Astyanax mexicanus: one gene and its partner. The protein of the gene in region 1 purifies or fractionates together with the protein of each later gene. This does not show direct contact. Links are inferred from orthologs where the notes say so. Each region holds a gene or a part of one and is shown in the gene's direction. Other genes may lie near its edges.

What was found.
Region 2: the proteins of luzp1 (region 1) and dapk3 purify together in Homo sapiens (affinity purification with mass spectrometry; 3 studies listed by BioGRID and IntAct, with this or other methods). This does not show direct contact. The link is inferred for Astyanax mexicanus from reciprocal best matches to the Homo sapiens genes LUZP1 and DAPK3.

What each region holds. Positions count from the first base shown.
Region 1 is NC_064421.1:44,089,300-44,097,825, forward strand, and holds the start of luzp1 (leucine zipper protein 1), read left to right. Parts: upstream 1-5,331; 5' UTR 5,332-5,481; intron 5,482-8,526.
Region 2 is NC_064415.1:44,697,360-44,704,965, reverse strand, and holds the start of dapk3 (death-associated protein kinase 3), read left to right. Parts: upstream 1-4,334; 5' UTR 4,335-4,412; intron 4,413-5,927; 5' UTR 5,928-5,971; coding exon 5,972-6,033; intron 6,034-7,606. Other genes in the region: sppl2 (signal peptide peptidase-like 2), read right to left, coding at 278-460, 1,770-1,886, 2,450-2,497. UniProt on the Homo sapiens protein: Serine/threonine kinase which is involved in the regulation of apoptosis, autophagy, transcription, translation and actin cytoskeleton reorganization. Involved in the regulation of smooth muscle contraction.

The sequences.
Region 1 (8,526 bases):
GTTTAAAATAGAATGTACAGCACACATTTACACATAGTTGCTGCGAGCAGTGAATGCAGCATAGACCGCATGTGTACACAGCATGGAGCAGCAGAGACAGCGTTTCTTCATATCTATGGGGATTAGCATTATATGCCTATATACCAGATTAAACTGTGCATTATCAGCAGTTTCAGCTCAAATAAAAGGAGTATATTTGATATTGGGGTTGGATCGAGACCGGATCATGTTCTCACCTCAAGTGAACTGCTCCAGAGTTCGTTTGGGACCGGAATGAGACCACCTCCTCTATGTGTCCTCAGTACGGTTGTTTTCATTAATGCTGTTTTAAACCTTACTAAGGGTAAAATAAAATGAACCAGAGTCCGTTTTATCCTGACCAAATAGTGCTGGTGTGAAAACGCCCTTAAAAAATCACTATTAGCTGCTGTGTGTGCATAATATACACTGACCAATACAATGAACTAGTAGCCTCGCCCATGACTTTTGGCATGTCCCATGGAAGCTGTAGAATGCTGAATTGACCTATGGGATAAATATGGATGTGATTTCTCTCAGATATTCTTGTGTATTTGTATTTCAAGGACAACTTGAGCCAGATGCCGCCGGTCACCGTCGTTTTACCTTCTACTGCATGTGCTGTCCACTGATGATGGTAATGCTTTCTATAGCATATTTATAGCACATACGTGACACTGGGGAAATTACACATTTTAACTGGTTCCATCTAGGTCGGATGGAAAGTTTCTGTGAACAGCAATTTCCATGTCTTGCCACAGAAGCTCAATGGGATTTAGGTCAGGACTTGAATATTCTTTGATCCAAACCATTCCACTGTAGCTCTGGCTGTATGTTTAGGGTCATTGTCTTGCTGGAAGGCGAATCTCCTTTCCATACTCAAGTCTTTTGCAGAATCCAACAGTTTTTTTTTTCCAGGATTGCTGTGTATTTACCCCAATGCTATAGTTTTTAAAGTGCAAATTACACATTTTAACTATAGGGGGAGCCCAGGAGCAAGAAATCCCCATTGTTATATAATGCTGTTTTAAACTAAGGTGCAGAGGTGTTGCCTAAATTTTTTTGTACTATGTGTAAGAGTTGGCCAGGTGTTCACACACCTGTATGTGTGCGTATGAGCATGTGTGTGTGTGTGTGTGTGTGTATGTGTGTGCAAGCACTGTTCAGCAGTGCTCTCCTGTCCTGCTCTGCAGTGTGTGTGGGTATTTTATGTAATCTCCATCTGCCGTTGCTGCACTCAAGCGCTCTGAGTTTAATGTGTGTTCTTTTATCCAGTGAAGAGTTTAACCCCTGCATTACAGAGCTGAACACAAACACACACACACACCTCAGAGAGAAGCGCACACTTAACATCACACTGCTGCTGATCACCACTCTGCTATTATAAGATACTCTCAATGTAAAGCAGTGATCACTCAGTGAAAAATCAGCCCACACTATACAGACAAAATTACAGAGAAATCATCTCAAAAGTATTGGATGAAGCACCATCATTCCAGAGAACACATTACTCCACTACTCCACAGCTCGATGCTAGGGGGTTGTGTATTCATGTCAGTGTGCCCATAGTTTCATTATAATCTGCTCTAAATCGTCTCTTATTCTATTGCCAATACTTCTCTTCTACAGGAACTATTTTAGCTATTTTAACTGATTGCATTAGAAGGGACGTCTACATACATTTGGACATATTAAGTCAGTCCAGGTTCTTGGAGCAGTGAGGCATTAATGTTCAGAACCCACAAGGTCTAGTAGAACAATCAACTAATTGTTAAATGGAAATGTATTGAAATGTTTTTTACAACAAGGACAAATATGCTCTACCCCTAAGTGACTTATTTAGATATCTACAAATTAGACATCTCACAAAAATCACATATTGGAGTATCACAAAAAACCCATCTGATAGAGAAACCCATTTTATACATTTATTTGAACAGATACATCAGATTTATAAAAATGAATGACTGATTTCCACGACAAAACTTTAAATATTAAAGAACAATGGGAGCTCTAACTGAATACAGGGATGGAAGATAAAGTGTAGGAAAATGTACAGTATTGTGCAAATGTTTTTGGCACCTGTAGGAATTTCTGTAAAGAAAAAGCTTCTTATGTGGGCAGTAAGTGTTTATTAGCTCAGTAAAACACTCATATTGCTAATATTGCTTCCTATGCTAGGGTATCCATTAAGTTGTGTGTTCAAACACAGGGACTTTAAAAGTCATGTATTACATTTTTTTAAAGTTGCATTTATTCACTTTACAGATTAGGCAAAGTATATATATATATATACTTATATATATATACTTATAAATATATATATATATATATATATATATATATATATATATATATATATATATATATATATATATATATATATATATAAACACAAAGTGGATTTTATGGTATTCAACCTCTATTTCAAAAACTTAGTAGAGCCATCTTTTGCTGCAATTACAGCTGCAAGTCATTTATGGTTTGTCTCTACAAGTTTTGCAGCTCTAGAAACTGAGATTTTTGCTCGTTCTTCTTTGCAAAACAACTCAAGCTCAGCCAGGTTGGAACAGCAATTTTCATGTCTTGTCACAGAAGCCCAATGGGATTTAGGTCTTTCAGGACTTTGACTCGTCCACTTTAGCTCTGGCTGTATGTTTATAATCATTGTCTTGCTGGAAAGTAAATCTCCTTCCCAGTCTCAAGTCTTCCAACAGATTTTCAAAAAAAAGTTTAACTTTGGTCTTATCTGATCACAGCACCTTCTTCCACATGTTTGCCTTGCTTGTGATAAACTGCTAATATAACTTTTTATGTCTCTCTTTCAACAATGTTTTTTTTTTTACTTGTCACTCTTCCACAAAGGCCAGATATAGTTGTCCTGTGAACAGATTCTCCCACCTGGGCTGTGGATTTCTGCAGGTCCTCCAGAGTGATCATGGGCCTTTTATTTATTCTAATGACAGTAAAATATAAGCTAAGCATAGGAGAAGGCTCTTGAATGGATATATAAATGTTAAAGTTGAGATTTCTACAGTTAGCATCATGCTAATCAGTGCACAGTACTAACATCAGGCTCTAAAAATGTCAGATGCGGAGCTTCAGTAATGGGGTGGAGAGATGGAGCGCGGCTGCAGAGCTAAACACACAGTGAGAGAGGAGGCTGCGGAGTGGCCGGCTGAACTTGGCCTCCGTTCCTCCACCACAACTACATACCGTTTCGCTCGTGATTAAACGCTTAGGACAGAAAATTGAGGAGTGTGCGTTTACGGAGGATATAAACGTCTTGTGTGTATTTATAAGTACATGCGGAGCGGGAGTCAGAACCTCTTCTGTCTGCCAGAGAACAGGGCTGAGCACTTTCACCAAGGAACCACGGCCTAGATTCAAATTCAGAGTAGGAGAACTAAGGGTTTTGCTTTTACATCTGAAAGTGCAGACCAGAGTTTGAATCATGGTTCATGGGTTTGTTACATTGTGTACTTTTAAAGCTTTATCCAGTCATCATCATATACGTATACATTGATTGGTTTGTAGAAGGGCGTGCCTTCAACGTTGGCTTGTTGTTACTTTGGCAATTTGCCTGTATAAGTGTTCTCAGGTGTTCTCAGCCAAATTCTGTCTCAGTGCAAGAATCCAACTCCCTTTGAGTGAAAAATGTCATGCAGCAGAAGAAACGCAACAGATTATCCTCAGATTCCATTTATTTCTGTTTATTAATAAGAGTTAATCTACAGTTACAGTAGATACAGGAGTCACAAGGTCATACGGCTAACTGACACATTTGCACACACAGGGGTGTTTGATTTGGTTTAACCAAATTTTAGTCATTTGTTCCAGACAGTGGTCTGCCTTACCTTTCACCTTTCAGCTATTAGTGTATCTTGCTTGGATCTTCAGACTTTCCATATTGGTCTAAACCAAAATAGCTGGCGTAAAAGAAGATGTGAAATATTTGTAAAAAAAAAAAATTGGTCCAACCTAAAGACTGTTCTCAGTCTGGAATGGCAGGGAGGCAGAATTTAGCACAACAACTGGAAAGGCAAGATGCCGAATTGACAACACCCCGACGTCCGATGCACGCAATTCTACAAATCAATCAATTGTCATGTATAGGTGGTGATGACAGGACTACAGGACTAAAATTAAAAGAACACAATATATACACAGCAAATCTTACTGTATACTATGTAGTAAACAAAAATATACCCTAAGATTCTTTACAGTGATGATGATGGACATGACTTAACTGAATGGGTAGACCACTTAAACAATTCTCAGATTATTGAAGTCTACACTTTTCCAACACTAAATGCACATTTTGACACATCTGCTGCTGTTTATATTCATAGAAAGTCGCTAAAAGAGACAATATCCCACAATTTTCCTCAGATCCACTTACACTCTGTCTGAGTTCATGAATCAAAAACAAACTGTAGGCTAAATAGGTGGAGATGAACTTCTGTTTGTTGATTGGATGGGGCTAAGCTGCTGTAGGATGACTAGGTGGGGCTAAACTGCTGTAGGATGAATAGGTGGAGATGAAGTTTGTTGATTGGATGGGGCTAAACTGCTATAGGCTGAATGAATGGAGATACAATGCTGTAGGCTAAATGGGTGGGGCTAAACTGCTGTAGACTAAAAAGGTGGAGATAAGGTTTTGTTTGTTGGTTACTCCTGTTGGCTAAATGGGCTAATAAAAATGTTTTGCTTTTCTTGACATTTTAAGTGTCCATACATTTATGAAGACTCAAATGATTACAGTAAGTTAAGGCTTGTGTGTATAACATTTTCAGATTTCAACCTATCACAGCCTGTTGAATTCTATCCTGACCAATCAAAGCTGGATTTTTTTATGCTTTTGAACCAGTCACAGCAGGACAAAAGATTAACATCCTGAATAGTTGCAGCATTATTGCAGATTTAAAATAAAATAATAAAACACTAAACTAAACAAAAATAACAAAAAATAAATATAAAAACGCGTTTTTAAAAAAGTTAGAAGATAAAAGTCCCTTACCTTTTTCATTGTTTGCTCCTCGAAAGAATGCGCAATATGTATTTTTCCCACCTGTTTTCCGTGAAGCCACGCCCCTTGTGAATCGCGATTTCGCGTGAGAGCGTCCAGCACTGGCCAATCGCGTGGCAGGAGGGGCGGGGACTCGGCCGCGTTCCGTTCTTGCCCAGAGCCTTGCCCTGTCTTGAACGACGGCCCGCCTTGTGACGCATGAACATGACATAGCCAATCACAGCGTTGGAGGGGCGGGGCTTTCCTCAATACGGGTGTTCTGGAGAAAAAAAGGGGGAAAAAAGCTCCAGCGTGCGGAATGCGGCGGCGGGCTGCCTCTGCTGCGAAAAAAAACCGAGAGATCCAGCAAACATTACCGCACTGCTGAGAACTTTCCACGCCAGCCAGGACCTCGGCTTTAGCTCGGACTTACCGCCGCTCCTCCGCAGGCCGAGGTGAGTGTGAGAAAAGTGTGAAAAACATTTCAGAAAAGCGAAGTTGTGGTTGTTTTTTTTGAGCGCAGGTATCAGAAGCCGGCTTGGCCGAGCGAGAGCCTCCTTTTCTCGGCCACAACCGGGCAGAACGTCCGCTCCCTCTCCCGGGGCTGGAGCGTTGCTGGGTCGGTCTGTTTTTGCCATGTTTTACCGCTGTGGCAGAACCTAGCATTGCGTATCTCTATACCTTAGTGGTTTATACCTCGTTGTTGGTGGTTTTAATCTGCTTTAAAGTGAGTGAAACCCTGTTAGACCCTGTTTTTGACCCAGTCTGTTCACATCCAGGAGCTGGAGATGTCCAACGTCAGCAGACTCAGACTCAGGTCTGGAAGTTTACCCAGCAGCAGATAGGTTAGGTTAGTTGTTTTATTTGAATGTGTCAATTTTGAAGCTCCTGCGAGCTTTAAAACAAGGCTTTGACCCACTTTTCTGGTGGCTGGGTGAAACCCTCACACCAACAGGGGGGTTTTGGTGTTTGTCTTGGGAATATTTGAGTTTTTTTTGGAACAGGAAAAGTCACCCTCCTTCTTGGAGAACAATGAGGCTGATCCTGAGGCTGGGAGTGGAAGTACTTTCAGGAGGACAGAGAGAGAGAGAGTTCGGCCAACTCCTTCCACACCTCGGATTCTTCACCTAAACCTGTTTTCTGAGGCCTGAGGGGAGAAGTCAAGGTTTTATTATGTTTTTTCCACTGACACAGATCCGCAGCACCGGCTGGGCCTCCAGGAGCCGCGGCTCCTATCTCGACTTGACCCCGAGCTGTGTTGACAGGCAGGGTTTGAGATGTCCACCTCTGGCCTGATGTGATGACAGGCCTTGTCATGATGTAATTAAACACCTTCTGGTGTGAGTGGAAGGTTCATCTAGTCATCTAGTCAGCGTATGAAGGCTGGTGCTGAGTTTAAAGACAGACCCAGTTTTGGGTTGAAAGCAGCACTGACCCAAATTTTGGCACAAATCTCAGAGGAACCGCGCTCATCTCAGTAAACTGATCTTCTACACTGTTTAAAAAAGGACATCCAGCAGCTTTATAGACACTGAAATGATCTCAAGAGAGTGAAGAATGATTCTTTTATGGAATCTGTATCATCAATCGCATTTCGGTGCCTTTAATTTTTGGATTGTGTTCATTCTTTTTAGCAACAGAAATGGTTCTCTTTAGAACATATCACACAGCTCTGGAAAAAATAAGAGACAACTTTAAAATGATGAGTTTCTTTGATTTTACCAAATTGAAAACCTCTGGAATGTAATCAAGAGGAAGCGGGATGATCACAAGCCATCAAACCAAACTGAACTGCTTGAATTTTTGCACCAGGAATGGTGTAAAAGTTATCTAAAAGCAGTGTGTAAGACTGGTGGAGGAGAACGTGCCAAGATGCACGAAAACTGTGATTAAAAACCAGGGTTATTCCACCAAATATTGAACGCTGAACTCTTAAAACTTTATGAATATGAACTTGTTTTCTTTGCATTATTTGAGGTCTGAAAGCTCTGCATCTTTTTCTTTAATTTGACCATTTCTCATTTCAGCAAATAAATGCAAATAAATATTTTTATTTGGAATTTGGGAGAAATGTTGTCTGTAGTTTATAGAATAAAACAATCGTGTTCATTTTACTCGAACATATACCTATAAATAGCTAAATTTAAAAAACTGTTTTAGAAAAGAAAGTGGTCTCTTTATTTTTTTCCCGGAGCTGTATATATACATACAGTGATGCACGAAGTTTGTGAAACTAGAATCCTAATATGATTTATATAAAGAACCCCTTTTGATTAAATGTTATGAAAACCTTTACAAAATCAATCTGAAGTACAACTACTTATCTAGTACTTAGTGTTAGTATCAGCATTTCTACATTAGCCAATAAATCAATACATTTAAAAAGATCTGCACTAAAATGGGTCACAGTTCCACAGAAGAACCATTTTTGTGTGCCTTTTGAACATTCCAGTGACTAATACATGCGGTGGTGTTTGTTAGTATAAGTACTGGTTCTGCATAGAACAATGACTGTTTGGAACTATTTGGAATCCTAAGTGGTGTATTTCTAGTTTAAAGTGTTCTTTATATGGTGGTAATGCTTTCGGTTCTGTATGAAAGAACCAATGCTTTTGCTAAGCCTTCATTCTTCTTTTTCTACGTTCTAGCTCAGCCTGAATGCTGGGTGCTAACTCTGCTGTACGTTAATTGGGTTCTTTAAGGTTTGAGTGACAAAACAGGTCTGAGGTCAGGGCCCTCACGCTGAAGTGTCAGTAAATAAGGGTTGGTGACCTGGATGGAAGAGTCTGAAGGTCAGCTGATGTGTCCGAGTTGTAGGGATGCACCAATCCAACAGTTCCTGTTCTGATTATTTGTTTTTCTCAGTTGATTTCTGTGCTGTTGGTTGCGAAAGTGGTTACTGTGGTGTTCTAAGTGGTTGCTATGCCTAATTATGAACATTAATTAAACATTATACATGTGTACATTCTCAGCATAAATTGGAAAAAAAGGAATCAAATCTAATAGTCACAGTGGATCAAATGAAAACTGTACAGGATTATAGAGCATCCCCCATGTAGTGTATTACAGTCTGTCATAATGAGCATGTGGATCATATGAACATTGTAAAGCCTTATAGAGCGCCCCCAGTGTTTCCTTTAGTGTATTACAGTCTGTCATAATGAGCGTGTGGATCATATGAACATTGTAATGCCTTATAATGCGCTCCCAGTGTTTCCTGTAGTGTATTACCGTCTGCCAGAATTAGTGTGTGGATCATATTAACATAACATGGCATTAGAGAGCGCCCCCTATGCTTTCTTTAGTGTATTACAGTCTGTTATAATGAGCATGTGGATCATATGAATATTACAGAGCATTATAGAGCACCCTCTATGCTTCCTTTAGTGTATTACAGTCTGTTGTAATAAGCGTGTGGATCATATGAACATAAAATGGCATTATAAAGCACCCCCTATGCTTCCTGTAGTGTATTACAGTCTGTCAGAATGAGCATGTAC
Region 2 (7,606 bases), on another chromosome or scaffold:
GTTTTTCATTCTAATATCAGAGATTTACTGAGTAGATAAGGTATTTTTCATAAAAAAAAAAAAAAAAAAAGAAAACTGGTGGGTGTATTTATTAGTTAATTAAACTGTAAATAGTCCCAGTAGAGAGAAAGGTAAATATTATTTTATTCAACACTGTTCAAGCAACACCTTGAAAAGCTAAATAACAGTTCTATATGAAATGCCTATTTACATTAATTCTTTGTAAACCGTTACCCTCACACCCATCTGCTACCCTCACACTCCCCAGAGTCCTCACCAGCCGGTCCTTGCTGACGATCAGCAGGCCTTTGGCTCCGTTAATCTGCGCCAGACGCACTTTCTCATAGAAGGTACAATTCCCACGCAGCACCATGGGGATCCGATTTGGGAAGCCGCCTTCCGGCACATCAGAGGCAGAACACAGCACTGAAGCTGTCAAGTCATACGCCAGCAGACGAGACTGAACAAACACACAGAAAATCAGTATATATAATATACATACACACCATACACTGATTAAGATCATAAATACAGGTACAGGAAATTAAGACCTGCCCTCAGATATAGTCAATTAGCCAAGACATGTCTGGCATCTTGGTCTTTCATGATAATTATGATAATTACATTTTTTACAATATATGAACATGACCTTAATGATTTATGTTGATCTCAATGTTGCCCATTGGGGCTTCTTAGTGCGACGAGCCCATAAACATTACTGATGTCCTTTGTTTTTACCACATTTTTCACACTATAAGGCACACTTCCAAACATCAGTGTGCATTATGAACAAATTCTACCAGTCAGGTGATGATTTACTAGCTGATGATTTACTAGCGCTAAACCCTGCTAACAGTGGCTAGCGCTGCTGCTAACACTCTGTTGACAATATTGGAAATCTAAGCTTACTGTGAATAAACTGAAGCACTTTACTCGCCCAAATTAACAGTTTTCATGAGAGCAATGTGTGTACATTACTGTGTAACACCCTTATTCCTTACTATTGTCATTTAAAATGTGCCTTGTTATCTGGTGTGCCTTATGTATAAAAATACACCAGAAAATATACAAGGAAATAGACATTCATTAATAGAGTGGCTTATAATACAGTATATCTCTGGAAAAAATAAAGAGAGCACCTCAGTTTCTGAATCAGATTCTCTTATTTATAGGTATATTATTGAGTAAAACGAACATTGTTTTTTTTATATATAAACTTCGGACAACATTTAATATTGCCAATTAGATCATCCATCTTCCTCTTGATTATATTCCAGATGTGTTCAATTTGGTAAAGTTAAAGAAACTTCTCATTTTTAAGTTGTTTTTTATTATTTTCCAGAACTGTATATATACAATTTTTTTCCAATTTTCTCCCCAATTTGTAAGGCTACCCACTTAGTACCCACCGGAGTCAGCTGGACCCCTCAGAGACCCTTGGCACGTTGTTATGCCTTAATATTCTTACTCATTAAAAGCTTACTGCTCTTTGAAAGGGTGTAACTGCATTCAAATACTAGTGTAAGATTATTATATGAGGGCATAAATGGTCTTAAAATGAAAATGTTATTGTTAAGCACAATCTTTTTGGGACATCATATCTGCAGGACTACTGGCATCTGCTGTATGATACTTTAATGTACAACAGGAGATGCTAAGCTAACACTGCTATTCCACTTAGCCACTCCTGCAATTAGCTGGCAATTAGTTTATGTTTGTGTTTACAGCAAGGTAAGCATGTGTATTTGTAGAGAAGTTGAATAACTTACTGCTTTATTAAGGTCCTGAGGTAGCCGAGCCCACTGAGAGTTGAAGAAGATGCAGTAATCCTTCCCTTTACTCTTTCCCCACTCACTAAAATGAGCCATGCCATATTCTCCCACAGCCTGCAGACGAGAACACAGCTAGCTGAACAAATTTACTTCACAATTAATAACACTGAATAAGTCAGTGGATCCTTAACAATTTATAACAGATACTAAAATGTAAACTTGCTCAATAATTTACAGTGGATAATACATAATCAGTAAGTAAACTAGTTAACTAAATAATTCACTAAACTTACAAACGGTAAAGTTCTTTGTTTCTGTGCGAATTTTTCATTCCACCTTAAATAGTGCAGCAGTCAGAGGATTATTTAAGGTGGAAAGGAAAACTGGAAAACCCTAACTTCAACTCCGTGTTAAGAGTATTTTATCAGACAGTCTTAATTCTCTTTTCGCCCTTCATAATATAATTAACTAAACATTATATATAAAGCTGTAAATCAGGTTTAAAGGTTTCGGGGCCTGAAGGCTTCATCCTGTCTCCTAGCGTTAGCATGTTAACAGGATGAGCTAACCTTCATCTAAACTAAAGCGAATCTGTGTTTATTTGTCCTTATCTACATATTTCCTTCAGCGTAACTGACCAGTAGACTGAACGTGTCTGTGCTGTGTGGTGTCAGTACCTGTTTAATGAACAGAGCTGTCCAGATGAGGCTCCGCATTAATCTCATACTGTCTTACTGTTGTTCTTCCTCCATCTGCACTGAGGCACGGCCACAGATCCCGATCCCGAGCTAACCGCGGCGTCTTATTGGTCCGATCCCTGCCCAGCGCCAGCACCTACGGGAGTGGCTCACGCAGCTGTCAGTCTGAAACGGGGCTCTTTAACACAGTGATATCTCAGTTTAATGATTGATTTACAGTAAATAAACAGATGTTAGGGGTTTAGAAACATAAATTTGCATAGTGCACTTTTATAAAAGGATAATTTATTGATAACTAAGAGTTAAAGCTCAATCTTACACTGTAAACTGAAGTTTGTGCCAAATGTTTGTGTCCTGTCCTCAGTTTTTCATGCACACCAGCCCCTCTAACCTGACTTTAAAAATATACAGAAATGTGATATGTTGAAAGTGGGTGTCTTTTATTCTAATAGGAATTATATTCAATGTAAATATATTCCACCGCAATTACTATTACGACTACAAATAATTATAATAACACGTAGATTATAGATAATGTTGCATTTGTGTACTGAAAACAGTATTAAATAATTTATTTGTAGTTTTAATTTCCTCTGTACAAAATGCAGCAACTGAGAATAGGCCTATCTAGTCATAATAGACTAAAAAATAGAACCATACTACCATATTCCTTGAATCAAATAAGGACATAAATATAATGAGAAACAGAAGAGTAAAAATGCAATTTTACAATATTTAATAAATATGGATGACAGGGATAAAACCAATAAAATCATAGCAGAAAGAAGATTGCGATTCATGAGGCCTTCTTATTTCCAGGAATTCTATTACTTTTTCTCTTAAATTTCTTGATTTTTTTCTTAGGCCATTAAGAAGAAATAAACATTGGGAAAATTGTAAAAAAAAAAAATCTGCTGTTAAGTATATATTATTTACCCAACAAAAGTATAATATTTGCAATATGCCAGACATGGGTCTGTACATGAAGAACCTTTTTGATTGACAGTAAACACAGCCTTGATAAAAATGCTACCTGCTAACAAATACAGCTTAAGACCAGCTGGTCACCCAAAAAAAAAAAAACACATCATGCTGGTCAAGAGCTGTTTAACGAGCTAGCCTACCAGCATAGGGTATGTTTTTTTTTGGATGACCAAAAAATTGGTCTTAAGCTGAATTTGTTACAATATCTACAATATCAAATGCAAATAACATAATATACACGTAATAATATGCTTAATATAGTAATCATTTTGCTAATGCTTGGGGGATATACACAGTTACATAAATATCTTAAAATACACACGTTGTAACAGTTTTAATAACTTTTGTATTAAAGGGTCCATGAGTTTAACACAATGTTTCATCCTTGTTTCAAAAGCAACAAAAGGGTCTTGCCTGAGAATTTACATTTATTCATACAAAACCTGGCCATTAAAAGTCTAAAATGTGTGATATATGCATTGGTACATTTATCTCTGTCATTTACCAAAAGACCAAATAATACATACATAAATAAACAATACTCTAGTAGTTACCTAAATAAACAATATTTTATATCAGTCTTATGGATAATGTTGTGCTTGTGAACTATTTCTTACTCTCTTTTTCTCTATGTAAAGCACTTTGAGCTGCACTGAGGTGCTACATAAATAATGTTTATTATTATTATATTATTAAAAAAGGTGCTTATTTTTTATCCTCTTTTATACATATTGACAATTTCAGGTAAATAACAAGATATAACATTGTGTTTTAAAGTGGTGTTTAAATGTTAGAAAATGTCTAATTATCTGGGTAGAGTTTGTGTATAGGTTTATACGACGAAGCTTTTTTATTGCAGCACGACTCCTGACGTCACCGCGGCGTTAATACCCGAGCGCGGCCGCTGGGCGGCGCTGGAGCGGAAACACCGCCCGCGGGGAATGCAGCTGTCCGGTCTGTGAGTACAGTATTTACATTTTATTCACATGTAAAGCTTTAAACAGATTAAATAACCCTGATGAAGACATGTATTAAGTTTATACAGTTATATGTTAAGTACAGGTTAGTGTGGAGAGTAAAATAAAGGATTCCCGGGTTTGTTTAAAGGCTCAGGAGGCTCTGAGATGTGGAGTTAACCTAGGTTAGCTAAGAAGCTAAAGTCAGCGTTAAAAGGCAGCGGGTTTTAGTGAATATTTAACTGAAGTTAAACCGCATTATCTCTCTACCTCTCTGTGTGTCTGTAACTGTGTATGAGAGCCGACCAGTGTTAGGGTTTAGTTTAACATGATTTGTGTAGTTAAGAAGTTCTGCTTCTTTTCAAATTATCCGTTCCACCTTAAATAGTGCAGCAGTTCTATGTTAACTGCAGGACCGTTTAAGGTGGAACTGACAATTCTTTTTAAACTCCAAAATAAACCTCGTTTAACAGAAAAAGTCTTTTACCAATTCACATCTGACCTTAATTAGAATATTAGTGAAATTGGAGACAATAAACATGTTATGAAATATAAATATCAGTCATTTTTTAAGCGATAAAGCTCACGTTTGTCTGTTCTGGATGAAGATGATGATGATGATGATGTAGCAGGATTGGTATTTGCACTCATTAAACACATTACTGATCCCCAAGACTCATGTCAGGGTCTGTTAAGCTCATTTTGGCTGAGTATAACTTATTTATTTCATACTTTAAGCTATTATTGTCCATATCTGGACTATTAAAAGGAATATTCCTTATTTAGAAGAAAGAAACATTTGAAAGTTAAATGTTTGTCAAACTATTAAAGGTGGGCAATAGGGGAGTATATATTTTTATTATAGTGATAAATGCAGATGAAGAGTTCATAAAACACTGATTATTAATAATTTCTCTTAATTTTGTAGGTTTTGCCAAACTATGTCCATAAGAAAACAGTGATTTAAATGGCTTGAGAAAACACCTTTAATTTTTTTTTTATTAAAATTAAGTTTTAGTTGTAGTTTCAAAGTGTTGACATTTACAGGTTTTTATATGGTTTTTATTTTTTTTTTTTTAAGAATGTTTTTAAAAAGTAATGGAAATTAGAAAAAAAATGTTTGATTATTGTTTTGGTTTAAAAAAAATAATTTAATGTTTAATTAATGTAAATCCGTCACATCTATTTGCATTCAACTATATCTGTAAATTCACACAATGAGAACAAAATGATGATTTAATGCTGTCTGGCTTTATTCAGACATATAATGCAGAATACGCAGAAATATTATTCAGCTAGTAAAACGTGACCTTTCAAAATGTTTAAAATTCATTTTAGGTGAGAAATATATTTGAGATTTTTTGGCCAAGTCAGTACTGATATATTACAGATTGTATGTTTATTTAGTGTACAGCAGTTTAGACACTCATAATGAGCCTATGATGAGCCTATGATGAACCTGTTTAGCCTACAGAAAGAGACATATTCAGGATGTCCTGTTATCTCCTCTGTTACAGGATTTGTTGACCCAAGTGTGGACTGTGGGTAAGGTCAGCGAGTCATGGCTGGCTTCAGGCAGGAGGATGTGGAGAAGTTCTATGAGATGGGGGAGGAGCTAGGCAGGTAAGACGCTACGTCGTTAGCTCTGATGAGTAAGTCATGACGGCTGTGAATTTGGTTAGATTAGTCAACATAGGCTGGGTTTTAATGGTGGGGTTGTGAAGTAGTGCCTGTAAGACAGAGTGATGTACATCAGTGACTTACAGTGATCTGCTAAAAGTGACACAGAGGTAATTATTGCTAGGTTTGTTAAAAAGAGTTTAAAAAAGTCTAAATAATATTAATTATTACATAATTAATCAAAGTTATGTACAAGTAATGTTTTTCCTTTTACCTTTTTGAAATCATGAACAGGATTATTGGCTATGTTCACAAAACCAGGCTAAAGTGACTCAAATTAGATTTTTTTGCTCAATGTGGCTCAGATTTTCTTTTTAAGGCTGTGTGCACGTGCCAAATGCGATTTTTTTATTTTTTTTTATTCAGATCTGAGCCACTTCTTTATGTGTTGCTAAATCGAACTTGCTTAACCTGAACCATGGACATGCTACATAAATGTGAACGGTCAAATTCATGTGTCTTTTTTTTCTTTTACGCATGCGCTACGTGTTTCTCTCTGGTACCCACACATCTCTTGGTGCAGCTATAGCTGCAAAAACAGCAAAAGCAAACCGCCTGGCCCTTTTTTCACCTCCTCGACCTGAGCATGAACTTCAGACCAGCTGTTTACTCTCCACTCCAGCAAAAGATGCTCCACATATGAACTGCTAAAGCATCATTTCCCTTTTTTTAAAACTACGAGTCGTTTATACATGTATTAGTGTGCGCGTGTGAGGCATTTCAGGGACAGATTCGTTCACATTACACACAGATACAGCTCACTTATATTTGTGTATGTGAACCGTCAAGACAGCCACATCTGATTTGAGCAATGGGCTCTAAATGTGGATATTTATTTTTTGTTTTTGCTATTGATAGTTCAGTGTTAGAAATTGCTATTATTTATTTTTTTGCTATTGGTAGTTCAGTGTTAGAAAACATTGATGTTCCATTGTAATTTAAAGAAGCTTACGATAAACTGCAACACCATAAGCAAAACAATATGTTCTGTTTGTTTGTTTGTGTTTTTATTTTAGAAAACCTTTCATAATTGGTAAATACCAACACATTAAAAATTCTGGGTAAAAGAAAAGTATATTATCTTTAAATGTAATTGTATTTATTACTACTACTTACTATTTAAGTAAATGCTGTGTTTTTAAGTATTGATACAGTATTGTTATACTACAATATATCAGTGTTTTCTTACACCCCTAGTAAGTATAGGACTGTTTCTTCAGTTGTGTGTTAGCAATGATCTTTGGATTGAAGTTTTTATATTAAACCAGATTCAGACTAATGCGGAAGAATGTCATACTGTTACGCTTTCTTTTGTTTGCTCTAAGTCAGCATAAACACTGTCGCGCTGCAGTGAAGCACAGTGTGTTTTAGAGCACTCTGTACTAACACACACACTGATGCGGCTGCGATAAAGATACTCTGCTTATTTTACCTTTACGTAAGTGCCTTCCTCTCACACTAGTGAGGAATTTTAATTCACACAAAGAATGAGTCATAAACACACACACACACAGTT